Macaca mulatta: one gene and its partners. The protein of the gene in region 1 purifies or fractionates together with the protein of each later gene. This does not show direct contact. Links are inferred from orthologs where the notes say so. Each region holds a gene or a part of one and is shown in the gene's direction. Other genes may lie near its edges. The genes, in order: GSK3B, YAP1, PRKAR1A, PRUNE1, PPP2CA, EPB41L3 and GSKIP.

Region 1 (4,477 bases):
CTAACTGAAAGAGATGATTCTGCAGGTAGAAATTACAGGAACCACTGGATTACAATCAGGATGGCAACTGTCTGTTCTACTTTCTCTCTCTTGACGTAGCCATACCTCACTGTTCTAAAGCAGACCAAAGGAACTGGTTCTATCGTAGAACAATGGACGCTGGTCTTACATATGAAATCTATTCAAGCTGCACTTTTATAGATCACCCTAATTCCAAAAGATCCAAAACTACCACGGGCTCCTCTAACCCCCCATTTCCTTGGAGGCTTCAGGATATCCGGCCTGACGGCATTTCCCCTCACCTGCTTTCGGGGCCCGTTTTGCGCTGGGCAGTTGCGCCCAAGGAGCGCGCGCATCCAGCATGAGCTCATTTCTCATGGGCGTTTCCAGAGGCCCGGCCGGGCCGCGCACACCAAGCGCAGCGGGCCTCTCTATCAATGGCCCCCGAGGCTGGGCGGGGCGCGGCCGCCCAAAGAAGCTTTGTTCCCATTTTAGCGTCTGAGAGCTTGCTGCCGGCTGGGAAGGCCCCCTTTGTCCGTCAGGCCCTTTCGGGGAAGAGGCCGACACCCGGCACACGCGATCCAGGGCAGAGGGGAGCCTTAGGCGCGCAGAATTGGCTGCGCCCCGCCGAGAGCCTCCTGTGGATGGGGAGAACCCCTCGACCCCTCTGCTCGCTTGAGCTCTTAGAACCCAGCGCCGCCGACCGCAGCACTTTCCGATTTGCTGCGCCTAGGGCAGGCGGTCCCTATGTGCGGTTTCCACCGTAGTTGGAGGCCGCAGGCGAGCCGTCGGGTCGTCAGCCACGACCCTAGTCGGGCATCTCCCAGGTCCTGGGACGGAGGCCGAAGGCCAATCACACTGCAGCTAAGTCTTGCGATTGGACGGCAGTGAGAGCCGATTGGCCACCGCCGCGAGTTTCGAGCTCCACCCTCTCCCTTTTGCCCCAACTCCAGCGCCTAAGCTTCCGGCCAATGAGACGGCGCTTTATAGACGCCCTCCCTTCGCTTTCTTCTCCCCACCTTGGAGAGGGAGGGGAAGTCCTGACTGGCCAAACTGTCCTCGGAAGCCCCCTTCCCTTCACCAATCACCGAGGGAGGTACGCTCCCAGCGGAGTTTTCCAGCCAATTACAAAGCGGCGGCGGCGCCCAACCGTGCAGTTTCACCAGCGTCTCTGGGTTTCACCGTCTTCAACTCTTCAAGCTTTTTCGTGAGGGCCGGCGACTCTGATTGGCCACTGTTGCCATTGTCGAATGTCTCCTCCAGCCAGCCACCGAACAAGGCGAAATCACCCTTTCCGTTCGGCTGCCTTCGGCATTTTCCGCTCTTTGGGCGTGGCTTTCCAGCGTCACTTTCTAATTGGTTTCTCAGGCCGATCGGCTTTTTCCGGGAGGAGCCGCAAACAAACGACGTCCGTGATTGGCTCCGTTCGGGCTTCGGCTCCCAGCCGAAGCGGGCGAGAGTGGGGCTCGGGCGGCGATTCCCAGACGCCTGTTACGCGGGCGGCGGTGCGCTGGGCGGTGTAAGGCTGGGTGGGGGAGGAAGGAGGTGGAGGAAGAGTAGGAAGGGGGAGGGGGAGTGGGGAAGTGCAAGGCGGCTGCGCAGACAGCGCTCCTCACACAGAGCAGCCCCTGACCCGGGCGAATGCGGGCTTGTGCCGCCGCTGCCGCCGCCGCCCGGGCCGAGTGACAAAGGAAGGAAGGAAGGAAGCGAGGAGGAGCCGGCCCCGCAGCCGCTGACAGGGTTCTGGGCTGGGGGCAAAGCGCGGACACTTCCTGAGCGGGCACCGAACAGAGGCGAGGGGCGGGAGGGCGGCCGAGCTGTTGCCGCGGACGGGGGAGGGGGCCCCGAGGGACGGAAGCGGTTGCCGGGTTCCCATGTCCCCGGCGTATGGGGAGCAGTCGAGGAGCCGCTGCCTGGGGTCTGAAGGGAGCTGCCTCCGCCACCGCCGCCGCCATGGCCGCTGGATCCAGCCGCCGCCTGCAGCTGCTCCTGGCGCAATGAGGAGAGGAGCCGCCGCCACCGCCCGCCTCTGACTGACTCGCGACTCCGCCGCCCTCCAGTTCGCCGGGCCCCCGCCGTCAGCCCGCCGGATCCCACGGCTGCCGGAGCTGCAGCGTTTCCCGTCGCATCTCCGAGCCACCCCCTCCCTCCCTCTCCCTCCCTCCTACCCATCCCCCTTTCTCTTCAAGCGTGAGACTCGTGATCCTTCCGCCGCTTCCCTTCTTCATTGACTCGGAAAAAAAATCCCCGAGGAAAATATAATATTCGAAGTACTCATTTTCAATCAAGTATTTGCCCCTGTTTCACGTGATACATATTTTTTTAGGATTTGCCCCTTCTTTTCTCTCCTCCCAGGAAAGGGAGGGGAAGGAATTGTATTTTTTCCCCAGCCGTAAATCATCTATATGTTAAATATCCGTGCCGATCTGTCTTGAAGGAGAAATACATCGCTTGTTTTGTTTTTTATAGTATACAAAAGGAGTGAAAAACCAAGAGGACGAAGTCTTTTTCTTTTTCTTCTGTGGGAGAACTTAATGCTGCATTTATCATTAACCTAACACCCCAACATAAAGACAAAAGGAAGAAAAGGAGGAAGGAAGGAAAAGGTGATTCGCGAAGAGAGTGATCATGTCAGGGCGGCCCAGAACCACCTCCTTTGCGGAGAGCTGCAAGCCGGTGCAGCAGCCTTCAGCTTTTGGCAGCATGAAAGTTAGCAGTGAGTATTGATTTTATTTTACGCCCCTTTTCCACTTCGCCCTTAAAATAAGAAATCTCGGAATACCAGGATCTGAAAATATTAGACTTCCTAATATAACAAACAAGCAATGGAAAAGGGCAAAACCTATCTTCAGTCAAGGATGAAGCAGCTCCCTCTTTACTCCTCCCATACCCCCTCCCCCGGTCTCATTAACCTTGAATTGAGATAATATGATTTTTATTTGGATGATTCGATTTGAAACTGCTTTCTTATACTTTTCTTGCTGTTGGTAGTGAGTTTCATCAAGTGCTTGAGTGTTTCCACGTTAGTGATGACCGTGTTTACTTGCCCATCCTTTAGAATAAAGAGAAGGACAAGATTTGATTAATAAACCATTGTGCACATTTGCAGAATGTATGTCTTTTGGAATAAGAGGGTATTTTAGGTCTCAGGATTTATCATAGTTTGGTATACTTAATAGAGACATTAAACGTCCCACCCTCCCAACATTTTTTTCTTGTCTGTATGACTACACATAGTATTTGTTCTTAATCTGTGGATGAACTTGCTCAGTAACCATTCACATTTGGAGGCTGTCATTGATTTCTCTCTTTAGAAGGGACTAGTGGGAGCCAATAAATACCCAGCAGCAGTAGCATCTCTGTATGCATTTGTGTTCGATTGGATTAGTGGTTTGATGTGTTCTCTCTTAACCTTCCTGTTTTGACATTACCAACCTGCCACCGTATAATTTATATTTAATCAAAAGGTAACATAGAAGTATTAATAGGTCCAGGTTTTGATTGAGATTTGTTTTGTCATAGTGCCAAATAGTAAGTTAAATGTTGTCACTGGCTCATTACATTTAAGTTCAATTTTGGAGTACTGTTGCGCTCCTGTTAAATGTTCTGGAGGGTTCCTTAAAAAGGACGATTTAAAATACTCTTGCGTTAGTTTCCATCACATTTAGATAACTGTGGATTTAGTTAGAAGAATGTGGCTTTAGTCCTTTCCATTTTGGCTTTTGCAGATGGCTGTGGTCCTGGAAATAATAGGGATATTTGGACTGTGTTCAGGGTTGTAGATAGACTACTCTTGTCCTGGGTTTGTGCTGAGAAGTATGCTTTTGAAGTGTTTAGTATATACTAAGTATCTAATGTTCCAGTGTATCTCTATTTATGGAGAAGTTCATGTGGTGTTTAATGACAGCTTGTTTAAACATACTTTCAGAATTTAACAAAAATATCTATGTTGTTTCCTTATTGTGGGAAAGAGGGTCATCATGAGGGCAAAGAAATTACTGTGTTGCTTAGAAGAACGGAGAGAACTAAAGAACTGAGATTTTAAGAACTGACACACACAAAAAACATGTATGTTATGTGAAATTGATTATATTCTTAGGCAACATAAAATGATCACTTTTAGTTGAACTCAAGATTTCATTTCGTGTTGGCTTTGGGAACTAGCCTGAAACAGGGTAGTCTAGGTAATAGCTGAATGGGAGATTATTTTTCAAAGTTAATTTTTTTTTCCCCCGGTGGTTTGCAAGTAGAGAATGCCGGGGTAGGAAAAGAGGACAGCTGATTATGCATCTTTCAGGGAAGGGTCGTGCTTTCTAAGCGCTTCATGGAGTCATTTGAAAAATATTTTAAAATTCCGGGGTAATTTTCAGCTATGATGATACAAATCTTATAATAACTACTTAAGAGCCTCTGTTGGTACTGGAGTGTTTGTATGTTTTACATCTTGGTAATATAGTTTGAAAACCAGTCAATCAAT
Region 2 (3,694 bases), on another chromosome or scaffold:
ATCAGGGCACGCAAAATACAAACAAGCCAAATACTGAGGCCTTCTCATCCATGGCTGCATTGTATATCAGTGGTCTCAGAGGCAAGTATGTGTTTTCTTGGATCTGTGTGAAGCTTTTGAGCATTGGCAAAATCTGGCAGAAGCATTAGAGTAAACCAGTGATTGCAGTATATAGAATGAGGGGAGAGAAAGAACAAGGCAAACGCATTGCATCATTTAGGGAAGGCAGTTGGGGTACTGACTGAGCTTGTAGCCTTGAGCAATTGTTAAACTTGTTTTTATTTTTTAACTTTTATGTAAGTTAAATAGCTGCTTTTAAATGTACAATCTATAGAGAAAGTTAAAGTTCACACATGTACACAGACCATTGAAGAATAACAGCTGCCTTGATTTTATGCTTTTCTCCAAGATTTTCTAGAGTTAGTAGAACTGAGAATTTTCTAGAGTTAGTAGACCTCAGTGAATGCCCGCTGATGTCTAGATGCTACCAGCTTAGGAGAGTGTTCTATTTATCAGAGTAATGGATATTTACCATACATGAATGTAAATCTGGGAAACCTTGCTTAGTCTAAAGTGAAAATCTGTGTCGGGTCATTTTATTTTCAAGGGATGTGCCTTGCAGTTTTTTGTCTTGCTCTTTCTTTAACTGGAGCTATATGATCTCCCGTTTCCTTTCGTACTAAAGTGTTTGAGGGTTTTTCCTCCCCCGCCCAAACACAGAAGCAAGGAGATCAAGCCATGAGTATTCTTATCTTATCAGCAGTGACTCATCTATTTTGGTTCAGTCCTAAAAGGAATTCTGGTGGTTTATTTGGGGTTGATTTTTCCTTGGCTTATGTTCTCTGCACAAGAGCTAGGAATTTAACTTGAATCTAGTGCAGACCTGTCTCCTCGCCCACCTGGAGTTTGTGTTTTGACCTCTCTGTCTGTGCCACCACCACCTGGAGAATTGAGACCTTGGGACAAGTAAGTTGTGTGGGTTCCTCCCCACCTCCAGATTCAAATAGTATTACAGAGAGGAGAATACTCATGCAGAGAATTGTCTGCCAGCCAGGAAAACTAACTGGGGGTACCTTTTTTTGTCCCTTATTGTCATCAAGCACAGAACCTTAGGAGAAATCTTGGCTCTTTAGGGCTGCTAGCTTCAATTAGGATTAACTTGTCTATTTCACTTCATAGCACAAGCCCTGTCTACGGCCCTGAGGGAGGGGCTTGTTTCAGACATTGCAGAGCAGGAATTTTCACTAACCCTCTTTGAGAATTATGTTGGTACTCAGCAGGTGTTTATTTTTACCTTGAATTGATTTTTAAAATTTTTTGTGTTGGTCTTTAACTGTCATGTTTTTGTAGTGGCACCTATCACTCTCGCGATGAGAGTACAGACAGTGGACTAAGCATGAGCAGCTACAGTGTCCCTCGCACCCCAGATGACTTCCTGAACAGCGTTGATGAGATGGATACAGGTTGGTATTCTTTATTCCTCTTAGTAGCCTGACTTACAGTCGGATATGTTATCACCAGGTCTAATAAGGTATTGTAAGCAAAGATTATTCAGAAGAAAACCAATTAAAATCCTGTAAATTCGAATTAAATTGAGCCTGCTTTGTCTCTATATGGTGATTTGTAACTGGTATTTTCCTAGTTTAAAAAAATATGTATCATGAATTGGCCGGGTGCGGTGACTCATGCCTGTAACCTCAGCATTTTGGGAGGCCAAAGTAGGCGTATTTCTTGAGCCCAGGAGTTCAAGACCAGTCTGGGCAACATGGTGAAACCCCATCTCTACAAAAAAATACAAAAATAAGCCAGGTGTTGTGGTACGTGCCTGTGGTCCCAGCTACTCAGGAGGCTGAGGTGGGAGGATGGATTGAGCCCTGGTGATCACACCACTACACTCCATCCAGTTTGGGTGACAGAATGAGACCCGTTCTCAAAAAAAAAAAAAAAAAAAATCATAAATTGGATATATTAGCTCTATTTGAATAAAACTCTGGCAGCATGACTTACATTAGCATGTTGATCTTAATTGGCAAGACAAACAAGTGCCCGTTAGAACATCTCTCTCCTTATTATGGATTTGTGTCCTTAATTTTGAGAAATGTCTACATGTTATTCAGTGTTTGTTTTCATCTTTTCTCTTAAGAGTTTTTGGTCCACCTTAGGTGTTACGGGGCTCAGGAAACCAGATGGGAAAGACTAGGAGGTGGGGCCCACTTACTTTATTAGAATAGTTGCAGAAGGCCAGGTGTGGTGGCTTACACCTGTAATCCCAGCACTTTGGGAGGCCGAGGTGGCCAGATCACCTGAGGTCAGGAGTTCAAGACCAGTCTGGCCAACATGGTGAAACCCTGTCTCTACTAAAAATACATAAATTAGCCATGTGTGGTGGTGTGCGCCTGTAATCCCAGCTACTCAGGAGACTGAGGAAGGAGAATCATTTGAACCCAGGAGGCGGAGGTTGCAGTGAGCCGAGATCACACCACTGCACTCCAGCCTGGGTGACGGAGCAAGACTCTGTCTCAAAAAAAAAAAAAGGAATAGTTACAGGGGTCTTGCAGGAGCTAAGAAATACCTGCCTCACAGGGATAATTAAGGAAGCATTTCTCCTGTGGCTTACCTGGCAACCATTGCCTTAAACTTGACAACTGCCAGACTGCATGAATTGGCAGGGAAATGAAGCTGTTCTTTAGCTACCAGCTCTTTCGCTAACTGCTTCTCTTCTGAAAGTGTTTAGCAAGGCTTTTGTGCCTGTACTCATCCAGCTCCTGGCTTTGATGCTTTCTAGAATCCACACTACCCCCTCCTCTCTGCTTACCTAGATTTTAAATCATCCTTAGGAGCCACTTCAAACCCATTTCACACACACTTTTACTTCTCTAATCTGTATTTCTCTCTTCTCTAGATCCCTATAGCACTTAATGATTTATATTAGTTTTTCTGAAAGTATGTTCTATTGAAGCTCTGAGGAATGTTAATGTTGTCATATGCAAAAAAGGCTCTGTGGCGGAGTAAGTTTGGGAAACCTAGAAGCAAGGCTAAGAAGATGTATTTCTTCAAAGCCCTCTGGGAAGCTTGTTTTGCTGTTATGAAGGTGCATAAGGGTGGAATAAAGTATTCATGCAGTCCTTTTATTTTAATGTTTCCCAAAGTGTTTTTAAGACCAAGGAAGTTCTATACCACTCGTTTTTATGTTTAGTCTTATTATGGTGGTGCTTATCTGGAAGACAGGGTAGTGATGCTGTTGTGTTGTGTTCTTGTTCTTTCTCCCCCTGCTGCATATAATTTTTCAAGGACTTTTTTATTTTTTTAATGACTCCCTTTAGTGCTCAGCACATAATAGCAATCGAGCTGTTATTGGATATCTGAACAAATGTTGAAGCAAAAGTAAACTCGGCATTGTTATCTTGTTACCTGTGAGTTGTTTGACCTGATATAAATTCTAGGTATCAGTTTAGGTCAGTCAGGAGCGCTTTTCTTTCCCTGTGCATTTCTGTATGCTCATATGATACAGCCCTGATGTTAGCTTTTCAAAAAGGACTTTGTTATCTCTCTGTGTGTGTTTCCACTAGGTGATACTATCAACCAAAGCACCCTGCCCTCACAGCAGAACCGTTTCCCAGACTACCTTGAAGCCATTCCTGGGACAAATGTGGACCTTGGAACACTGGAAGGAGATGGAATGAACATAGAAGGA
Region 3 (4,152 bases), on another chromosome or scaffold:
AACATTTGGGGAGTCAGTGAAAGGAGAAACTTCAATCCTCCATTCCCCTCTGTAGGCCTGATTGCCCTTTTGATGTCGCCTATGTGTCCCTGACTATCAGAAGGCAGTGAGTAACATAACTAAATAAATCATCTGACAGACAGTACCCTTAGAGTCCTGGTGGATTTGGGGGGAGCAGTCGGCCTCCGAGGGCAGCGCTGTCCAATAGGAATATAATGGGAGCCATCTGTGTAACTTAAAAATTTTTAATAGCTACATTAAGAATTAAAAAACAAAGGTGAAATTAACTTTAATAATATTTTACCTAATATATCAAAAATATCACTTCAATCTGGAATCAGTATAAACATTATTGAGATACTTTTTTGTATTGTGTTGAGTTCATTATTTACTTTAAACATACCATACAGCCCTTGAAGTATATACAATGTTACTACAACAGCTCCTAGACACTTGCATGTGTATTTTGCTTTTTTGTATCGTGTTGAATTCATTACGAATTTTAAGCACACAGCCCTAGAAATATATACAATGCTACTACAGCAGCCCCCAGCCAAACACTTGGATATGTGTCCTTGATGGGCTTTCTTTATTCAGTTAGAGACTTCATGTGTCTAAAACTGTACCCTGTCTCCCTTTTCTTCCTCCTGAGACAGATACTCTGATGGGGAAAAAAAAAAAAAAAAAAAAAAAAAAATGGCTGAAAGAGTAAAGTCGCTTTTCCTCCGAATTTCCCCCATTAGTGCAGCTTGTACGGACAGCTGCGATTTCTTGTTAGGTCACAGGGCGTTTGTGGCAATCTGCACGCTCTGCATTTCTCCCCCTGTGAGGTCAGGAGTGATGGGCGAGGGGGGGGGCACTTCAGGTTCTAGAAGGACCCGGGCAAAGTCCTTTCCCGTGCCTGGTTTCCACAGGGACGGTGTGGCCTGCACAGACGACAGCACGCCCGGCGGGGAGAGCGGCCGTGTCGGCCCAGCGGGGACTCGGCAGGGCTCAGGTTTCCCGGACCGGATGACGGACCTGAGCCCGGGGCCCGGACGGCGCTGGCCGGGCACAGGATGCGCAGCACGGAGAGCGCATCCCGGGCATCCGCCCGCGCTCGGCCCCGCGGCGCAGCTGCTGCAGATCCGCGGGGGCAGCCACCTCCTCCGGGGGCTGGCAACGCCAGGACTCTCCCCGCCCCGGCCCGGAGCCCTCCCCTGCAGGGGCCGCGGGGCGGAGTCGCCCACCTGTCATCCGAGACGCCCCACGTGGGTCAGCCGGGGAGGGGGCGGAAAGGAGGGAGAAAAGGCAGAGGCGTCGGGGGAGGCCGGAGGGAGAGTGGGGTGGACAGAGGAGCGGAGGGACTAGAGGGAAGCTCACGCTAGCTGCGCGGAGAGGGAGCGAAGAGCAGGAGGAACAGAGGCGACCCAAGACACCCAGAGAGGGACAGGTAAGGAGGGGCAGGTGAGCAGGAAGGAGGAGAAAACCGGGCTAGGGAGAGTGCGGAAAGGAGAAGTGGCGGGCGTGAGAAAACTGCTGTGGATAAGGGACGAGTAAGATGGAATGAATGGCGGAAGGCGAAAGACTGCAGAGTGAGGGTCCTTCCAAGAGCGACGGGGGAGGAACTGGGGCTGTTGCGCCCTTAAGGTTGCTAAGGCGACGGCTCTGGCCAGAGCGAGGCGCATTGACGTCAGCAGCCGAACGCTGATTGGCTGCGGCCAGGCCGTTTCCGGTGGAGCTGTCGCCTAGCCGCTATCGCAGAGTGGAGCGGGGCTGGGAGCAAAGCGCTGAGGGAGCTCGGTACGCCGCCACCTCGCACCCGCAGCCTCGCGCCCGCCGCCGCCCGTCCCCAGGTGAGTGGGGTCAGTCGGGGGCTCAGGCTAGGTGAGCTTCGTCGCTTCGCCGCCCGTTTGGGGGAGCTGGACCGATCCAAGATGGCGTCACGGGGAGCGACTTGCGGGGGGGACGGCCGCACCCCCCTGCCCCTCCCCGACCCGGCGGGCGCCTCCCCTCAGGCCTCACGCCCCCAGCTCCGAGTCTGCATCCCCAAGGCCATCTGGGCGTTGGCTTTGGTACGGGGCTTCCCAGCCGCCCAGCTCCCGCGCGCTGCCCCCACCCCACGGCGCTTGGAGCCCTGGGCCCTCCGCGGCCCTCCCCGGCCGCTTTCGCCCCCGCGCGCCGCGGCCTCCTCGCTCACCCTCCCCCATTTCCTGAAGGACAACGGCTCTATTTTGCTGGGGTCCGCCATCGTTTTGTCCGCCGGTCCTGGCTCTTCTTGTAAGCCGGCAGTTTTCCTCTCCACTCTAACGGCTCCTAGTCATTGCTAGCAGTAGCCTTTCCTCTCCGTAGCGAGGTGATCTTTCCCCCAGCACGACGGTCTTAGTCGGGCTCCTGAATTTCCTTTTGTCCCCCTTCACCTCCCTCCGTTTCCCGATTTTTCTGCCTAAGGCGTCCTCGCCACCACTGTGGCCTTCCGACTGGCGTAGCTTGAAGTCTCGGCTTCCCTTCTTCATTTTGTGGTCATGACCGTGGCCTACGTGAAGTGAAGGGCATTTTCCTGCCCTTCCTCTAGAAAATACACGGTACCTATTAACCCCTTCAGGTCAGAGCCTGTGGTGACGACCGTCTTATTCCTTCAGAGAGTCCCAAGAGATCCGTCTTTTCAGCAGAGCAAGGAAAGCAAACACTTCCTCAAGATGACCCCAGGGAAGCCGTAACTTGGCAGGTCTAAGGGGGTGCGGTCTGAATCAGGAACAGTTTCTCAAAGTGTTTTTATTTATTTCCCAGAATGTAATCCTTTCGAAGCAATTTTGTCACAACTGCATTTTCAAATGAATGAATCTGGGTATAGAGACAATGCAGCGAGTGTTTTAAAGCAGTTAAATAATTGTGTGTGGGGAGGGAAGGCTAGGTTGTTGGGCTTTTACAAATAAGTACACATAGAGAATCCAGGTAACTCTATTAAAAATATTAAGACTGTGAAATCTGATTATTCAGGGATTTACATGGTGACTGCATTAATCTTGGGACATTTCTGTTCGTATACTGGCTATCTTTTTGGTTTTTGTAATACATTAGTTGTTTCAAACAAAAGCACAGTTTCACGCCTTAGGCCCAGTTCTCTCATCTCTACCAGCCAAAGACCTGATCTTAGAATGATCGGTTGAATGTTCTTGAAATATGACTGTGTTTTGAAGCATGAAAGATCTGATTTATGATTGTTCTTGGTGGTCTTCAAGTATTACTTGAAATGCAGACAATTCTGCTGAAGTGGATTTTCAGTTCATAGGATTGCCTGACCTGGAGAAGTGGCATGTATAAATCCTAATTTTTTTTTTTGTTGCCTGTTTATTTCTAAAGTAGCAGCATGATTCTTTTTCCATGGCTTCTAATTTATGTGCTTGTCTTGGAGCCACAAATTTTCTAATAGTTTGTTCATTAGTCTACTTGTTATTGACCTTTATGGTGAAAGTTGTCAAGACAAAATGACTGACAGTGTAGCACTTTAGAATAGCTCTTTACTCTGGTATTTCTTTCTATAAATTCTTTTAAATGTACAGTTTCATCTCAGTAGTTTACAATGCATTATAATTGGAAAAGTCTGATTAGTATTGAATTCAGTTGCTGAGTGGAGGGGACCACACTCTTGTCTTCTACTCTTAAGTGCTTAGTAATTAGGAGTTGGAAGAAAAACAATATATGACCCTGTTGTTAAGTTACTAAATTTTTAATTCCAGGGTAGGGTTAGCTGCTCATTATTATCTCTGTTTGCTTTACTTTACATAAAGGTACCATAATTTGAATCCTCTAAAATCCATTAAATGCAATTTATCCGTTAAATGTAATCCATTAAATGCAATTTATCTATTGATTCTTCATGCAAGTTTGAAACTTAAGTGTTTTAACATTCACCTGTCCAGATGAAGAAAATATTTTGACAATTTTCTATCCAAATGTTTTACAGTTTACGTGGTAAGGATTCTTCCCTCCCCCAACTTAGGATTTTCCTTCTTTTACCAGTAGTGTATTATCATTTAGGGGTGGAATCTGGCAAACGATTCTGGAATAATAAAAGGTTGCTTTTAAAACTCACCTGAATGTTCTTGCGTGTTTTTAAAAATTTTGATTACGCTAGTAGTTGGCTAATCAAATCCTCACTCCAGTGGTTTG
Region 4 (4,123 bases), on another chromosome or scaffold:
TAGTGAAACCCCATCTCTACTAAAAATACAAAAATTAGCAGGGCGTGGTGGCACGCACCTGTAGCCCCAGCTACTCGGGAGGCTGAGGCAGGAGAATCACTTGAACCCGGGAGGCAGAGGTTGCAGTGAGCCAACATCCTGCCACTGCACTCCAGCCTGATGACAGAGCAAGACTCCGTCTGAAGAAGAAGAGGAAGAAGAAAAAACTGGCAGAGCAGGCAGGCGATCCAACACCCCTGTGCTCTGGATCGTGGTTCCACCACAGGCCTCTCATCAGTCACCTCCTCTCGATTTACAGCTGGGGAAGCAGGAAAAGCTGGTGTGAGGCTGATGGTAGGAAATAAAGCGATAGATAAATAAATGAGGGAATTTTTGATGATGAGTGTCCATTTATTTACAGTACTTGCACTACCCTGCGGCTGCAAAGTGGCAGTTAAGGGAGGCTGGAACCTAACTCTACATTCTGAAGGGTTCCCTAAAACTCTATGTACAGGGCCGCCACAGGATGAAACTTCAAGCAACTCTAAAGGCTGAAAGAGCAGTTGGAACAATTAGGGTGGCAGAGAGCAAAAAGTCAAGGTTACAACCGTCCAAGAAAGGAAGGAGAAGATATTTGCGGAGGCTGTAGGAAAAAAACAGGCTACAGAGTTGCAAAGGGAGAAGCAGCAGGAGTTGGCAGGAGACTGTAGGTGTTAGGTAAACAAGAGGGGTCAAAGATTATTCTAATGTTCTCCTAACATGAACAACCACAAAACTGGTTGAGATTGAATCAGTTTGGTAAAAGGCAGAATTTCGGGAAAGAAGATCTGTTTTGCCAAGTGTCATTTAAAATGTCAACCGGATGCTCGGTGTGATATATGGAAAGATGTTATACTTAGCCTGATCTGAGAGGGAAAGTTCAGATGCCACAATAATGGGTTACTGTGACACATACACATTTGTTTACCAAACAACGGATCCCTCAGAAAACGCTCCTTCCCTCGGTAGCTAGGGACATTGCGGAGCCGCAGGACTACGTTTCCCACGTCGCCCCACGCCACACCCACTTGGCCTCTCCGGAAAGACGTCCCAGGAGCCTCTGGGCGTAGAGCCCCGCCTCCGCCGCTGGGGGAGGGGCGACGCCAAGCTCGGGAGCACCCGGTTACGCACTTCCTCCCGGGGTCGGAGGCCGATTAGCCGTGTGGCGGGTTCGAGTCCCGCCTCCTGACTCTGGCCTCTAGCCCCTGAGTCCCGGGCGGGGTGCATTCGCCGGGGAAACCTCTCCTCGACCACGGGCACCTCTCCTCGACCAGGGGCGACGGCGTACTTTGGGCTTCATCATGGAGGACTACCTTCAGGATTGTCGAGCTGCTCTACAGGTAACCGATCCCTGTATGTGACTGTAAGGAATGGAGCACGGGGTCCAGGAAGGACGAAGACGTGGGATCTGGGGAGCCTCGACGGTCCGTGTGGAGGGAACACTGAGTTGTGGGGAGGGGGGTTGGGGCCTGATCAGGTTTGGGGCATGAGGAGCGAGGAGCGAGAAGCCAGCTTAGGAGCGTGAGAATGCTGCTTGCTTAGTCTCCCGGTTTTTGGCTCCCCGCCTTTGGGGTCCGCCCGAGAGCTGGGAGAAGTCTTGGGTCTGAATCCTGCATTTGAGCCTCTGCTTGCTGTCATCTCGGTCAGTTCCGTCAAAAGGACCAGGACTGTGCGACCGCCAGCCGAGCCCCGCGAGGTGTGTTTATTCTTTTCTCCCCGCCCCTCTTTGAGTTCTCCGCTTCCAAGGCCTCGCTTGGCCCACTGGCCTCCAGGTGAACCTCGCGGGTGTGGAGGGAACCGGTGCTCACGGCTTTATTTCCTCTGAATGGCGGTTTCTGTCTGGCGGGCTGAACTCATTTCTAAGTTAGAAGTAGTCACGGTATTTTACTTTAAGTCAGTGTTTTTAAACCAAGCATACATAATCCATCAGGCATATTTGTTGACCCACAACCAGCATTCCTTTGCCTCCAGGTTTCTCCTTTGGCCTTAACGCACACACATTACATAAAAATTCTCCACTTGGAAGGGATAAGCACAAAGTGTGTTTAGAATCAAAACCATAAATATGACTACTGAATGCTTTGTGGCTTATTTTTGGTGCTCTCTGAGCCAGTTGGACTCACCCAGCCATGCTGAGCCGTCATGAGGCATTAGGCTGTTATCCCCAGTTAGCAGCAAAAAGCTAACCAGAGACAGACTCCAGGAGGTCACCCGGCCCCTCTACTTTGAGTTATATTGCCCTGAAGAAACCTAGACAGATGGCTTGCTGAGCTTTCCTTTTTAGATATCGGAAACTCAACAAATTCCCCTGGGGGACAGATTCTGTTCTTTAACAAATCCTGAAAGTCACTTAATTCCTGCTGCAGACTCAGCTGCTGGAATAAATGAATTGTCTTCATATTGAATTGGGGAGAAGGTCCATTTTAACACCAATTACATAGACATTTTCCTTGTGAAAAACAAATTTGGGGAGTTATTTCAATGCATAAGGCCATTTGGAACCAATCCCTTTTTGTTACGTCTGATTCCACCACAGGACTAATGTAGAGTTTTGGGGGCACCATTCTAAGTGCTAAACAGTTGGATTCCCCCCCCCCAGTAACCCAAATGACTGGTCTCTTCCACCAAGTGGTAAAGTGCCCTTGGACCTGAAACCTCACTAAATAGTATTTCTTTGCATGCATCTATTCTCCAACATATATCCTCCAGAGCCTCCCCCCACCCCCAGGTTAGCAGTATATTCTCTATTTTTATTTTGTATTTGTTTATTTATTTTGAGCCAGGGTCTCACTCTGTTGCCCTGGCTGGAGTGCAATGGTGTGATCACCTCCCCGGCTCAAGTGATCCTCCCCCCGGCTCAAGTGATCCTCCCACCTCAGCCTCCCGAAAAAGCTGCGACTATAGGCAGTGCCACCATGCAGGGCTAATTTTTTGTATTTTTGTAGAGACAGGGTCTCGCCATGCTGCCCAATCTGGTCTCGAACTCCTGGACTCAAACAATCCCTCTGGCTTGGCTTCCCAAAGTGCTGGAATTATAGGTGTAAGCCACTGTACCCAGCCCTAATAGTATATTCTCTACAGCAATATGAAGCTGGAAAAATACTTGATTTTTCCAATATTGCTGGAATCCTGACCTTTCTCTACCTGCATTCATCCCCCAAGGAGCAAGATCTAGCTCTTCTTTCAAACTTGTGAACTTGTGAAAGTTGAGATTGTGTCTTAGAGCTTTCATCATCACATAGCCTCTCCAGGGCCTGGAGAAATGAGAAAATTAGACTCTAGGAAGGTTAACAGGTGAACTGATGGCAAGACATACTGGTAGATGCCAACAATTTAGATTGCTTTAATTTTTTTTTTTTTTTTTTTTTTTGAGATGAACTCTCACTGTCGCCCAGGCTGGAGTACAGTGGTGCAATCTTGGCTCACTGCAACCTCCACTTCCTGAATTCAAGCGATTCTTCTGCCTCAGCCTCCTGAGTAGCTGGGATTACAAGCTTGCGCTACCATGCCTGGATAATTTTTGTATTTTTAGTAGAGACAGGGTTTCACCATGTTGGCCAGGCTGGTCTCGAACTCCTGACCTCAAGTGATCTGCCTGCCTTGGTCTCCCAAAGTGCTGGGATTACAGGCATGAGCCACCACATCCAGCCTAGATTGCTTTAAATTATAGAAGTAGTAAATGTGTACTTTATGAATAAATTTAAATACCAAAGGGATATGGAATGAAAAAGATAAAGATCATTTTTCTTCTCTCCTCTCCATCCAGTTCTCCAGAGGACACCCTGTTAAGTTTCTTGTGTAAAGAGAGAGAGATGATTTAGACAGATACATTCTTAAGTTTGAATGTTCCTGTTAAACTACAGTTTAATTATAACTTTCAGAAAATCATGAATGCTCTTCTTTGCACAGAATAAAGACAGCTGGTAATCCAGCCAAGTCTCCCGTTGCTACTGTATTTTTAGTATTTGATACCAGAGAAATTTTCTACAGCCTCTGCCACAGAGACAATAGGATGTTCCATTAAAAAAAAATCTTATTTAACCAAATGTCCTATTTATGGTGACTCATCTTTCACTTCTAGGGGGGAGAAATCTTTGCTTCAGGC
Region 5 (2,960 bases), on another chromosome or scaffold:
ATGCAAATGTATGGAAATATTTTACAGATCTTTTTGACTATCTTCCTCTCACTGCCTTGGTGGATGGGCAGGTATGTGGATCTAAAACTCATTGCTGATTATTTCAGAGAATCAACTTCCTTTAATGTTCAGGTGCTCCTGACTCTTTCCACTGTTATACCCCTTTAGGGATATTTTTTAGTAGATATTGATAGCATTCATTCAAATTTTAAAAAATTAATTTGACAAATGTGTCCAGCTTTTTAAAGTGCATTATTCTTTATATCAGGCACTGAACTATATGATGGGATCACAGGGGTGGATGATGTAGCCCATTTATTCTCTCAGACTGTTTTTGGACAAGTCTGGGAGATGTAAGGAACTAATTATTGTGCACACAAAAGAACTTATAATAAAATTTTATGAGCATGGAGATACTAGTCTCTGGCAGGGGGCAGGAGTGATATCCAAAAAGTTTTCTCAAAGGAGCTGTTTGAGGTGGAGTCTGGGTGTGACAGTGATGTTCTATTAGGAAGAATGGGAGTGTACTCAATCGTTTAGAGTGGGCTGGAGCAAAGCTGAATCCTGCAAAGTCAGGCCTCATTCAGGCAGAGCACAGAAACACCAGAGGGGCCAAGTGATGGGGGCGTCCAGCTCATTTTTTAAAAATTTTTATAGAGACACAGGGTGTTGCTGTGTTGCTCAGGCTGGTCTCAAACTCCTGGCCTCAAACAGTCCTCCTGCCTCAGCTTCCCCAAGTGCTGGGGTTACAGGCATGAGCCACTGTGCCCAGCCAAGAATGTTTACAAATTTTTTAGGTGAGGTTAACCTTTTAAACCACTCTTTTCAGATCTTCTGTCTACATGGTGGTCTCTCGCCATCTATAGATACACTGGATCATATCAGAGCACTTGATCGCCTACAAGAAGTTCCCCATGAGGTATGACTTTTATTTGATAAAATCTTTCCAGAAAACTTATTAAAGAGTGGAGAGGTTTAATTATAAGATCATTAGATGTATTCTCTCTTATAATTCTCAAAAACAACTTGAGGTGTGAACACTCTTGTCTGCCCTATTGTTCAGAAGAAGCTGACATTAAGAAACCTGCCAAGATCACAGCAGCTGTAGAGCTGGGCTTATTAGGACCTAGGTTGTCTGTCTTAGACTCTGAAATTTGCATAATATAGGCAGATTAATTAAGGCATGTTACTGCTGGGTCCCATGGATGTCAGCTGTGTCTCATAAAGTCTACTGGAAAATACATATTACTTGATGCAGATGTTTGACTTCAACTGCATAATCTACTAGCGTTGTCCACAAACATCACTCAAAGAGGGTGACTTAGGGTGCTGCTTCTGATGAATTACTCAAATAATGTGTTAACCATGTTTGTAAAAGGCATTTTATAACGAAGTTATTTTTTAGGGTCCAATGTGTGACTTGCTGTGGTCAGATCCAGATGACCGTGGTGGTTGGGGAATATCTCCTCGAGGAGCTGGTTACACCTTTGGGCAAGATATTTCAGAGACATTTAATCATGCCAATGGCCTCACGTTGGTGTCAAGAGCTCACCAGCTAGTGATGGAGGTATGCTTCTATTATTTGAAATATGACTTGTTTTTTAGTAAACTTAAGGAGAGAAGATATTAGGGAGTTTTAAATTAATGACATTTGTGAGAAATTCCATCTATTCCTTCTGATGAGTTTACCATTATAGCCTGAGCCTTTTCAGTAGATGCACACTACTAGAATTAAAAGCTCAAGTTGTTGATTACAATGAATCCATTAACATGTTTCCAGAGAAATCTGAATGACTAGGAAGTACTTGGGATCTAAGAGTGGGAAAGTAAGATGTAGGGAGTTGGGGTGTGTATATAATATTTTATGATCCCAATGTCATTTCATATATTTAACATGTATGTATGTAGGAGAGACTGGAAAGAAATACACCAAAATGTTCTAAGTGGTCCTTTGGATGGTAGGATTACAGGTAATTTGAAAGAAGAGAAGGGAAAGAGGCAAAGGTTCTTGACATGCACACTGATTAGCATGTTTCTAAAATAAGGTGCTAATTAGATTAATACTAGTACAACTCTGTGGTTATCAATAAAATCTGACTTTGCTAAAGATAAATAAATTTGTGAACAATACTAAACAAAAAGTAACAAAAGTAGCTCATGCATTCAGATGGATGGATTTTGAGGAAACAAGGCTGGAGATCCTAGAGGCATATCACATTTGTTCCTGGGCAGTGAATGACTTACAGGCCTTTACCTGTAACTGACGAAATTGGTAAGGTTCTGATCTCCAGGATTAGGTATCTACTTCTCTAGGGAATGGCCACTTAAATACTCATTCTTAAATCATGTTTTAAGACCACTGCAATAGAAGAGGCTAATGAGACACCATCATTTACAGCAAGGCAGATACATGAGAAGCAGTTCATTCTTCGGTGGTCGCCACTGTTTGTTAAAGGCTTTTTTTTTTTCTTTTTAGTACTAAAAGCAAATTTTGTAATTAGGGGGAAAACAAATACGTATGTATCTTACAGGTTGTATGAAGTACAGCAAATTATTAAGTCAACCAGAAAAAAAGTATTAACATTTCTTAAGCCCCTTTGGCAGGGGTGGGAATGAGTAGAGATTTTTTTCTCTCTTGAGTGAAGTAGCATTTAGTTGAATTGAGGGAGTAAAGTAAGATTTTTGCCTCCTTTTCCTTGTAGGGATATAACTGGTGCCATGACCGAAATGTAGTAACAATTTTCAGTGCTCCAAACTATTGTTATCGTTGTGGTAACCAAGCTGCAATCATGGAACTTGACGATACTCTAAAATACTCTTTGTAAGTATTTCTACTTGAACATTTTATTGCATTACTGAATATGTAGGTTTTTGGTTTGTTTATTTATTTTGAGAGAGAGGGTGTCACTATATTGCCCAGTCTTACCTCAAAACTCCTAGGCTGAAGTGATCCTTTCACC
Region 6 (4,314 bases), on another chromosome or scaffold:
AGCAAAGGTGAGAACTAGTTTGCTTCTTTTGAGAGTGGCCAGAGTAAGCACTTGGCTGCAGGGAAAAAAGTTTGCTTTTAATTTCCAAAGTGGACCCAAGATGATAGGGTCTCATGGAACAAAATCTTTGCTTTGATGCAAGGAACCAGTGCTATGCAGCAGTCTTCCAAGTTACTTACCAACAGTTGAAAGGGTGTGGCTTCTTGACTGGTGCCAAGTGTTTCCAATATGCCCTTGTGTAGCGCCACCTCTGACTTCCTATAGAAAGCCTCTTTCCTCTGCCTCAGCCTGCTGAGGATTCCACAAAACACAGCTAGATGTGAGCTGCATGTGCACACTCCAGTCTCATTTAACAGTGCAACACCTGCACTCTCAAAACCTAGACATTTCCCTAATGGGCTATAAAATGTGCTATTTGGGCAGTTAATTTCAAAATGTTATTAAACTAATAGGCACTTGGCAATGTACCTCTTTCACATAGATACACCCAAGAGTCAGACGTTTCTGGTTGATTGGATGGCTTTCCAGACTTGTGATTGTCATATTTTATAGCTTTTCCTCCTCCAGAACGCTTTACGAAATCCGTTTTCCAGAAAGCACGCCTCCAGGAGCTACTAGGAGGCAGAGTGAGTGAAGACTGGCCTGAGTGCCCAGGGATAGACTGTGCAGTGAACTCTTGTCCAGGTCTTTGGGGTAGAGGTGGAAGGAAAAGAAAGATAATGTTCCCTTTGTTTACTTAGAAGGTCCAAGAGTTGTAGAAAGCACAGGTCTCGTTTTTAGTGTGCACGGGCATATATTCTCATGGCCTGGACTCACAGGCCACAGAATCAAGCAAACACGCATGTGACATACTGAGCCTTCAGGCCTGGAAACCCCGTGGGCACCAGTGGGGATGGCTTTGCAGGCGCTGGAACTGCGGGATCCGCCGCTGCAGGGGTGCAGGCTGGGTGAGAAAAGGGTGCAAGCTGGGTCTACACTGCTCTTCATATTTTGGCGCTTCATGTGAAGTTGGATGATGCTTAAATGAAACAGCCCCCAAGCCACTTTCTGGCCTACATCCCCAGACCGCCGCTGTGAAGTTAACTCTTTTCAGAGATTGCAAAAATTTAATACCAGCAAAAGAAACCAAGTTACCAGGTCCCCTTAAGGCACACGAAAGGACATTTATCATAGCCTCTCCTTTCCCTCCAGTCCCTAGCTACACAAAATTGTGTGTGTGTGTGTGTGTGTGTGTGTAATTCTTTCCCTGCTTGCAGAGACCGCTGGCTATAAAGCCCAGGGAGGCCTGTAAGGAGACCCACACTTTGCGAGCGCGCGGCTCGAGGGCGGGCTCAGGGCGGGGCAGAGCGCCGGGACCGCCCGGGCGCCGGGCGCAGCCAACGAGAGGACCGGGAGGGCGGGCCGGCGAGGGCTGAGCGGCGCGGGCTGTCACAGGCGCCCGAAGCGCGCTGCAGGTGGCAACTTGGAGGTGCCGCCACCGCAGCTGCGGGAGGAGCCCGGGTCTGGCGGCTCCTTCCAGCCTCCAGGAGCTCTTTCCCGCCGCCGAGCCCGAGATTGGACCTCGGAGAATTCGCAAGAAAGAGCCCCTGCGGAGGGACCTGTGAGCAGCCCTACCTCACTCTGCCCTTGCGCTACTTTTTTCCTCCAAGGAAGGTTGTGCCCGCGGGCTGCCAACAAGCTCCGGGAGGGGCCCCAAAGGAAGGCTTCGGTGACCCAGGTGAGCGCCTTTCCCTTCCAGTGCCCCATCCTTCTTGGCAGTCGGGCGTAGGCCGGGAGCGCCGCCTAGCCCCGTGGGTAGGGGCGCGGGTGCGGGCCGCCTGCCCTTGGCTCGAGGTCGACGGGGGAGAAAGCAAGGAAGGGGCGAGGCTGGCCCGACCGGGGGCTGCCGGGCCGGGTCCGCCCGGAAGCGGCAGGGACTCTCGGACCGGCACCTGGAGACTAGGGACGAGCAGAGAGGTGCTTTGAGGCGGACAGAGGGCTTGCGCCCGGTTTAAGCTGGCCGGGATCTACCGCCTGCGCTCTGTGCTGGAGCCGCCGTGGGAGCCGAGCGCGGCGCCTCTGCGAACCCCAGAGCTAGTGCGCGGGGCCCGGCGAGCGCACCAGTCTTCGGTCCCTCGGAGCCCAAGGCCCTGGAGGACGTCATTCCTCTCCGCTCGGGCAACTCCTCCTCCGCCCCGTCTTGCCTCCACCCCTCCGCGCCCGCCGTTTAGCCTATTCGGAGACTCCGTGCTTTTTGCCAGCGCGCGCAGTGGTTGCTGCTGTCACTCCCCTCCCCGCCCTCGCAGGAGTTGGAGCGACCTGGGGTCTGGGTCCCCGGCCCCCGCCGCCTAGTTGTGGGCTGGACGCGAGTGGGGCTGGCCAGTTCTTTGCGAGGAGGGCAGGAGTGAGCGCGGGCTCTCTCTCTAGTGCTCCTTCCGAATCCGTCCCCGCCCGCCCCTGCAGCTCGAACCGCTAGCCCAGAGAGCGGAGTGTCAGAAGCCAGATCTTGTTAGCTCTGGGGAAACTAGGAAGCCTGGGAAGGTGCGAACCTCGCCGATGAGGCCAGAGCCTCCGCCCCCATCTCAGTGTTTCTGCCCCTGCTTTCCTGCTTTCAAGTGGACAGTGGCTTTGACCTCCGCATTCCTGCTTGTGGCGTGGGGGCGCTAGCGGCAGTGTGTGTGTGTGCGGTTTGTAAGGATGAGCGAATGCGATCCTCCGGGAGGCAGAGGCGCAGGAGCCCGTTCCCCCAGCCCGGCAGAGCCGCAGGGACCGCCACCCCTCGCCGCCAGCGGCGCGCAGCTGCAACTCCGCGCTGCCGGTTTCTCTCCTCCCGCTCCAGCTCCCAGTCCCCCCCCACCAACGCGGCATCCCAGGATTAAAATCATCTGGCCAAAGGGTGCGGGTGGGGGATCGAGGTGCTCCCGAGGCGAATGAGGCTGTTTCTCAAAATCCTGGGAGCGCCCCTCGCCCGGCGCTGCATCTTCCGGTGGCTGGGCTGTAAGGACCGGCGGTGGAGGCTTGGCGGAGGCGGGCCCGCGCTCCAGAGAGGCCGTCATGTCACCCGAGAAGCCGACGCTGGGGGCTGCTGAACCTCCGAACTCCCTTTGACGCGTCCTGCTCGGAGCCGGGGAGCTCCTGGCTGGCCGGGGGAGCGCCGCGCGGGAGGTGCGGTGGCCTGGCCAGTGCTGCGGGAGGGCGCCCCGGGCGCGTCGGGGGCTGCGTGGGGGGGCTGGAGAGCGCGCGGGGAGCTGCGGCGGGCTTGGGGCACCCGAGTGGCGCTGGAAGTTGAGCCGGGGTCCGCAGGGCTCGGTGACCGCCCTGGCGCCGCCGCTGCGGATTCGGGAACAGCGGCCACGCGGCGCGTTCGGCCGCCCCCTCGGCCCGCCCGCCGCGGCTTTCGCTTTCCTTCTGCAGAAGTGAAGCCGCCGCCTGGGCTCGCTCCGGCTGGCGACCTTTGCGCCAGAAAAGCCTGAGGTGCTGGAGGCGAAATCCTCCCGGGAGCGAAGGGCGGCGTCCACAAGACAAGGAAAGGGAAGACGCCGGGCTCCGGCGGGTAGCGCAGTCGCGGGAGGGCGGCGCTGAGCGCCAAGGATCCCCGAGGCGAGGCGGACCCAACCCAGCCGGGAGGTGCTGCCCTGGCCCTTGGCGCTCTCTCACAGGGAGCTGGTGGACCCCCCGCCCCTGCCAGTCCGTAACTCCCGTGTAATTCCCTCTGAAGTGCTAAGACTGGGCCGGGAGAGGGCTGGAAGCCACTAAATGAATGAAAGTAGAAACGGTGGTGAATCCCAAATCTAACTATGGTTTAAATCTAAATTCCACGTGATTAGAAACAGATTCTAACCCGGTAGAGCAGGGTCTATGTGGGAGCTCCTATATCGCATTCAAATAATGGCAGTTACTGAGGGACACCGCAAGACTTGCCCCTCCCAGGCTGTAATTGTGCTGCTTTGGGGAGTGGGGGTGGGGTGGGCTCCAGTGTGCCCGTATCATTACACATAATCTAGAACGAGGAAAGAGTGAAGTTCAGGTCGGTTCTGAAATGACCTTGGGAGTCTCCGTCTTCACTTTCCCTTACTTGCCTAGGCAGTTCCCAGTTGGATCAGTTACAGTTCAGACTTGTGACACCAAGGGGTCAAAGAGCCTCCCTTGTAACATTAGATAATAGTCTTCTTAGAATGTGTGGTAACCGTAGGAAAACATTCTCAGTACTGAGGAGCAGAGGTATAAAACCGAAAGTTTGCAACTAGGCTATGACCTCTCAATCCCAATAATGGAAATACAGCTCTTAGTGGAATGTAAGTTATTGAGGGCAGGGTTCTTTCTCATTCTTTTATT
Region 7 (4,349 bases), on another chromosome or scaffold:
CAATGAGTGAACTCACAGCCTCTAGATGACAAGTAGAAGACAGGTTTTAAAATGTCTGAAAATTGCAGCTTCAGCGCTTTTGCAACACCTGCTTTTACGATCTGTCACGTGAAGCAAAGAGGCGTAACTCAACAGCACTACTAGGGCCACACGACCATTCACAGGCTGGGTACACAAACCTATCTTGTAAACATATAATCAAGCAAAAGCAGGCAAACCGGCACAGGAGGCCTTCACCTAACTTTCTTCCAGATGGCAAACGCTGCACGATGACAAACAAGGCAAACATGGTGTGCAAGTGGCCAACCCAAAACCAATAACTAGGGATTCTGACATCCAGAGGTCCTCTTCATCCTTAATCGTTCCAGAATGTCATCGCACAAGGCAGGGTTTGTTTGCCACAAAACCCTGCGGCCCCTCACATCCCAAGGGACAATTCTGGTCACCTCCTCCCACGGACCTATTGAGCCTGCTTCACAGACCCCCCGAAGCACTGACTCAATTATTCCCATAGTGTAGATTCCATTACATCTGTTAAGTTTCCGGAACACGTGATTCAGGAGAGCAAACTTGTTAAACAGATTAAACAACACTCTAACACATTTATCTGAGCCGTGCCACACTCGGGTCCAAACAATTCCCAAGGAGGGAATGACTGTCACCAATCTTGGATGGCACCGGTTCAAAGCGCCCTAAAGAGGGGAGCGAGCCCCGCCCGGCTGGCTGCCCGGCAGCTCTTACCCATTTGTCCAAGGGGACCTGGGCGAGGGACCCGGTGCCTTGGTACAAGTCCAGGCTGAGCTGCTCCAGGCTCAGCTTCTCCTGCAGAAAGTGGCCCAGGTACCTCTGCAGGAGGTACCGGCAGGCCCGCTTCTTGATAGACTCCGAAAACGGCCAAGGCATGGTGACTGCTGGCAGCTGGGCTGACTGCGGCTGCGGGTGGCGCTGGCTCCGGCCTCAGGGTAGCGACTCCGGCTCCAGGCCGCGGCGGGGCCTAAGCCTGGGGCGGCCCCTTCATCGCTGTTTGGCGCCGGGAGTTCCTCAGGGAGACCCCATCGCCGGCGCCGCGCCGCTCGCGCTGGGCCTGGCGGAGGCAAGACGCAGTGGGGTCCTCCTGGCCCCAGGCCAGGGGACTTCCGAGGGAGATCCCAACCGGCTCAGAGAAAGTGCAAGAGAGCGCGAGGGGAGGCGGCACAGGCTGAGGCAGACACCTCCACTGCCGCCGCGCGACGAATTTGTTGTCATCCGCGAGGCGCGTTCCCGGCTGTAGGGACGCTTCCGGCGCGTTCGCGAGACCCAGACTCCCGGCGCGCCGTCGGGCGCTGGCGGAAGTGACACCACACAGGGGGCCGCGGAAGGCGGGCAGAAGGGCGGGAGCTGGAGCAGTTCCGGCTCCGAGGGGGCGGGGCGGGCGAGGGCGGGGAGGGAGGGGGCGGCACCGCCGGTCGGCTCCAGTCGCCTCCGGAGGGAAGAAGCAGAGGACGCCGGGTGCGCAGGTAAGCAGCCGCCGGGCGGGCTGCGGGCGAGGGGCGGCCTCTGACAAGGGCTAGGGGCTCGGGGCGCCGGCGGGCCGTGGGGCCTTCCGGACGGGGACGCGACGCCGCGCAGCGGGCTGGGCCGAGAGGGGCGGCAGGCTGCAGGGGCCCCGCGCCGGTGTTAAGAGGGGTCTGGGGGCTTGTTAAGACCGACCTGGCTCTCCCGGCCCCCCCTCAGACCTCGGCGCCCCAGAAACGCACGCTTGGGGCTCCGCCGTCTCCGCGGGGAGGACTGGAGCCCTTCTTGAACATCCCCGCCCGCCCCCAAGCATTGACCGGTGCCCATTGTCAGCAAGTTCTTCAGCCCCCGCCTCGTTCAGGTATTGTTTCCGAGGCTTCCTCTTCGTTGCCGTTCGCCTGGCGGTTTGCAGAGCGCTTCTCGCATACGCTCGCTTAATCCTGGGTGTGTCATACCAACGATCAGGAAACTTGGGTTTTCGAAGCATCTGTGGGCAAAACTGCATTCCTTGAGAAATGTTGAAGGCTCCTGATCCCGCGGGAACCTGGGTGAAGAACTTGGGCTGTTCTGGTCGTCTGCGCAATCGTATTTCTGCCTTTTGGGAGGCAACTCCTGCAGAGGCGGAGCCGGCTCTTAAGTTAGTCAACCTCGAAAGGCCTGGGTGCCGGTGTTCGATGGCCCAGAAGCCAAATGTCCTGGGTTAGAATCCTGGCACTGACACCTATTAGCCCAGCCACTTTGAGCCGGCCACTGCCCTCCCCGAGTCCACGTTGCCTCCTTTGCCCAGTGTCAGTGGATTAAAATCTTATGTGCATGGATTTATTAGGAAGATTAAATGATATGAGTAGGGCACGAACCTGAACAGAGTCCTGAAACATACAGCTGTTTAATCCCAGTGAATTAAGACGAGCAGTTTAAGGAGTGAAATATTTACTGTCTCAGCAACTTTCATGAATGCCTTGGAAATACTGCCCAAAATGTTGATAGATGGAGAAACATCTGATTCCGCTTTCCACAACCACCTTTTCGTTTTAGAATCAGGGTGCTCTGTATGCAGTTGCTTGGATTGTTGATTCCCCTAATTCCTTGTAGACTTACCCCAAGTATTCTCAGTAACTTAGATTCCCTTGCTCTTCACTCAAAAATTTTGTTAAGGTCTGTTAAATGAACGTCACCACAGTTGATGATGTGAACAGTATCAAGAATCAGGCAGAACCTTCAAGGAGTTTATGTTCTAAAGTGGAAGGTCATTGGGCATGGTGGTGCCTGCTTGTGGTCCCAGCTACTCTGGAGGCTGAGGCGGAAGAATCGCTTGAGCCAAGGAGTTTGAGGCTGCAGAATTGCATTCAGGCTATCCATAGACTGCCTGCAATTTCAAATATCAGAAAGGATCTTACGAGCTACGATTATGCCACTGCACTCCAGCCTGAACCACAGAGCAAGACCCTGTCTCTTTAAAAAATAATAATAAAGTGGAAGTTTGTTCATTTATTCAGTAAATGTTTATTGATTGCATTCTGTGTGCCAAGCACTGTTCTAGGTGCTGGGGATACAGCAGTGAACAGATAAGTCTCTTCCTTCCCGGAACTTACGTTTTATTGAAGGGAGGAGAAACATGCAATCAATGAGTGAATAATATGCTTTGTGGTGATAAGGGCTGTTGGAAAAACAAAAGCATTGTAAAGGGGATGGAGATGGGGAAGAGAGAAGGGACTTGCCATTTTTATATGAGATGGTAAGAGACATTCTCTTATTTAATAAGATTACATTTTAGCAGAAACTTGGAGAAAGCTGGGAAGTGAGGCACACGTATACCTGGAAGAGTTGTTTTCCACGCAAGGGGAACAGCAAGTGCAACGTGCTGTCACAGGAGAATGCTTGATGAGTTTAGGGAACATCAGGAGTGAGTGAAGGAAAAAGTAGAAGCTGGGCAGTTGGGGGCTGGGGGCGCAGAGGAAGCACATCATGTAGGGCCTCCTGGGCCTTTGATAAGAACTTTGGAGCCGGGCACTGTGGCTCACTCCTATAATCCCAGCACTTTGGGAGTCCAAGGCGGGCAGATCACTTGAGGTCAGGGGTTCAAGACTAGCCTGGCCAACATGGTGAGACCCTGTCTCTACCAAAAATATATTAAAAAGTAGTCAGGTGTGGTGGCATGCACCTGTAATCCCAGCTACTTGGGAGGCTGAGGCAGGAGAATCGCTTGAACCCAGGAGGCGGAGGTTGCAGTGAGCGGAGATTATGCCACTTCACTCCAGCCCTCCAGCCTGAGCAACAGAGTGAGACTCTGTCTTTAAAAAAAAAAAAAAAAAAAAAAAGAACTTTGGCCTTTACTCTGGGTGAGGTGGATTTAGGAGAGAAGTGACGTAATATGGCCTCAGTTTCTATGGGATCATGCTAACTGCTATGTTAAGAATAGTCTGGTGTGGAAGTGGGAGGACCAGAGTGAAAACAACAAAACCAGTTAGAAGGATATCGTAGTAGTAATCCAAGGAAAAGATGACAGTGGTTTGGACCAAAATGGTAGCAGTGAAGATGATTAGTTAGAAGCTGTTGGATTCTGGATATATTTTGAAGATAAAACATGTTTGCAAATAATAATTCTAATATTTGCCATAAAAGGAATATAAGCAAGGTGGTGTGAAAAGTCAAAGGTGGGATCTTATCCGGCAATAAATTAGAATAGGCTTTGGAAGGTTTGAAATAGACTTCTGACAAATAGATACGATTTGAACTTCTTTCAGCAGCTATTAAATAAGTGGTTTCTTTTTCAATATACAGTTGCATTCAGGCTATCCATACAGTGCCTGCAATTTCAAATATCAGAAAGAAAAATTAAAACGAAGGTTTTGCGA

What was found.
Region 2: the proteins of GSK3B (region 1) and YAP1 purify together in Homo sapiens (affinity purification with western blotting; 3 studies listed by BioGRID and IntAct, with this or other methods). This does not show direct contact. The link is inferred for Macaca mulatta from reciprocal best matches to the Homo sapiens genes GSK3B and YAP1.
Region 3: the proteins of GSK3B (region 1) and PRKAR1A purify together in Homo sapiens (affinity purification with mass spectrometry; 3 studies listed by BioGRID and IntAct, with this or other methods). This does not show direct contact. The link is inferred for Macaca mulatta from reciprocal best matches to the Homo sapiens genes GSK3B and PRKAR1A.
Region 4: the proteins of GSK3B (region 1) and PRUNE1 purify together in Homo sapiens (affinity purification with mass spectrometry; 5 studies listed by BioGRID and IntAct, with this or other methods). This does not show direct contact. The link is inferred for Macaca mulatta from reciprocal best matches to the Homo sapiens genes GSK3B and PRUNE1.
Region 5: the proteins of GSK3B (region 1) and PPP2CA purify together in Homo sapiens (affinity purification with western blotting; 3 studies listed by BioGRID, with this or other methods). This does not show direct contact. The link is inferred for Macaca mulatta from reciprocal best matches to the Homo sapiens genes GSK3B and PPP2CA.
Region 6: the proteins of GSK3B (region 1) and EPB41L3 purify together in Homo sapiens (affinity purification with mass spectrometry; 4 studies listed by BioGRID and IntAct, with this or other methods). This does not show direct contact. The link is inferred for Macaca mulatta from reciprocal best matches to the Homo sapiens genes GSK3B and EPB41L3.
Region 7: the proteins of GSK3B (region 1) and GSKIP purify together in Homo sapiens (affinity purification with mass spectrometry; 10 studies listed by BioGRID and IntAct, with this or other methods). This does not show direct contact. The link is inferred for Macaca mulatta from reciprocal best matches to the Homo sapiens genes GSK3B and GSKIP.

Annotation. Positions count from the first base shown.
Region 1 is NC_133407.1:163,632,473-163,636,949, forward strand, and holds the start of GSK3B (glycogen synthase kinase-3 beta), read left to right. Parts: upstream 1-1,614; 5' UTR 1,615-2,628; coding exon 2,629-2,716; intron 2,717-4,477. UniProt on the Homo sapiens protein: Constitutively active protein kinase that acts as a negative regulator in the hormonal control of glucose homeostasis, Wnt signaling and regulation of transcription factors and microtubules, by phosphorylating and inactivating glycogen synthase (GYS1 or GYS2), EIF2B, CTNNB1/beta-catenin, APC, AXIN1, DPYSL2/CRMP2, JUN, NFATC1/NFATC, MAPT/TAU and MACF1.
Region 2 is NC_133419.1:103,096,833-103,100,526, forward strand, and holds part of YAP1 (transcriptional coactivator YAP1), read left to right. Parts: intron 1-1,350; coding exon 1,351-1,463; intron 1,464-3,569; coding exon 3,570-3,694. UniProt on the Homo sapiens protein: Transcriptional regulator with dual roles as a coactivator and corepressor. Critical downstream regulatory target in the Hippo signaling pathway, crucial for organ size control and tumor suppression by restricting proliferation and promoting apoptosis.
Region 3 is NC_133421.1:78,192,819-78,196,970, forward strand, and holds the start of PRKAR1A (cAMP-dependent protein kinase type I-alpha regulatory subunit), read left to right. Parts: upstream 1-1,292; 5' UTR 1,293-1,432; intron 1,433-1,716; exon of another isoform or gene 1,717-1,835; intron 1,836-4,152. UniProt on the Homo sapiens protein: Regulatory subunit of the cAMP-dependent protein kinases involved in cAMP signaling in cells.
Region 4 is NC_133406.1:116,095,629-116,099,751, reverse strand, and holds the start of PRUNE1 (exopolyphosphatase PRUNE1), read left to right. Parts: upstream 1-1,147; 5' UTR 1,148-1,319; coding exon 1,320-1,358; intron 1,359-3,749; exon of another isoform or gene 3,750-4,123. UniProt on the Homo sapiens protein: Phosphodiesterase (PDE) that has higher activity toward cAMP than cGMP, as substrate. Plays a role in cell proliferation, migration and differentiation, and acts as a negative regulator of NME1. Plays a role in the regulation of neurogenesis.
Region 5 is NC_133411.1:143,102,053-143,105,012, reverse strand, and holds part of PPP2CA (serine/threonine-protein phosphatase 2A catalytic subunit alpha isoform), read left to right. Parts: coding exon 1-71; intron 72-829; coding exon 830-919; intron 920-1,405; coding exon 1,406-1,567; intron 1,568-2,702; coding exon 2,703-2,821; intron 2,822-2,960. UniProt on the Homo sapiens protein: Catalytic subunit of protein phosphatase 2A (PP2A), a serine/threonine phosphatase involved in the regulation of a wide variety of enzymes, signal transduction pathways, and cellular events.
Region 6 is NC_133423.1:76,749,271-76,753,584, reverse strand, and holds the start of EPB41L3 (band 4.1-like protein 3), read left to right. Parts: upstream 1-1,430; 5' UTR 1,431-1,717; intron 1,718-4,314. UniProt on the Homo sapiens protein: Tumor suppressor that inhibits cell proliferation and promotes apoptosis. Modulates the activity of protein arginine N-methyltransferases, including PRMT3 and PRMT5.
Region 7 is NC_133412.1:169,670,171-169,674,519, forward strand, and holds the start of GSKIP (GSK3B-interacting protein), read left to right. Parts: upstream 1-1,445; 5' UTR 1,446-1,496; intron 1,497-4,349. Other genes in the region: ATG2B (autophagy-related protein 2 homolog B), read right to left, coding at 742-903. UniProt on the Homo sapiens protein: A-kinase anchoring protein for GSK3B and PKA that regulates or facilitates their kinase activity towards their targets.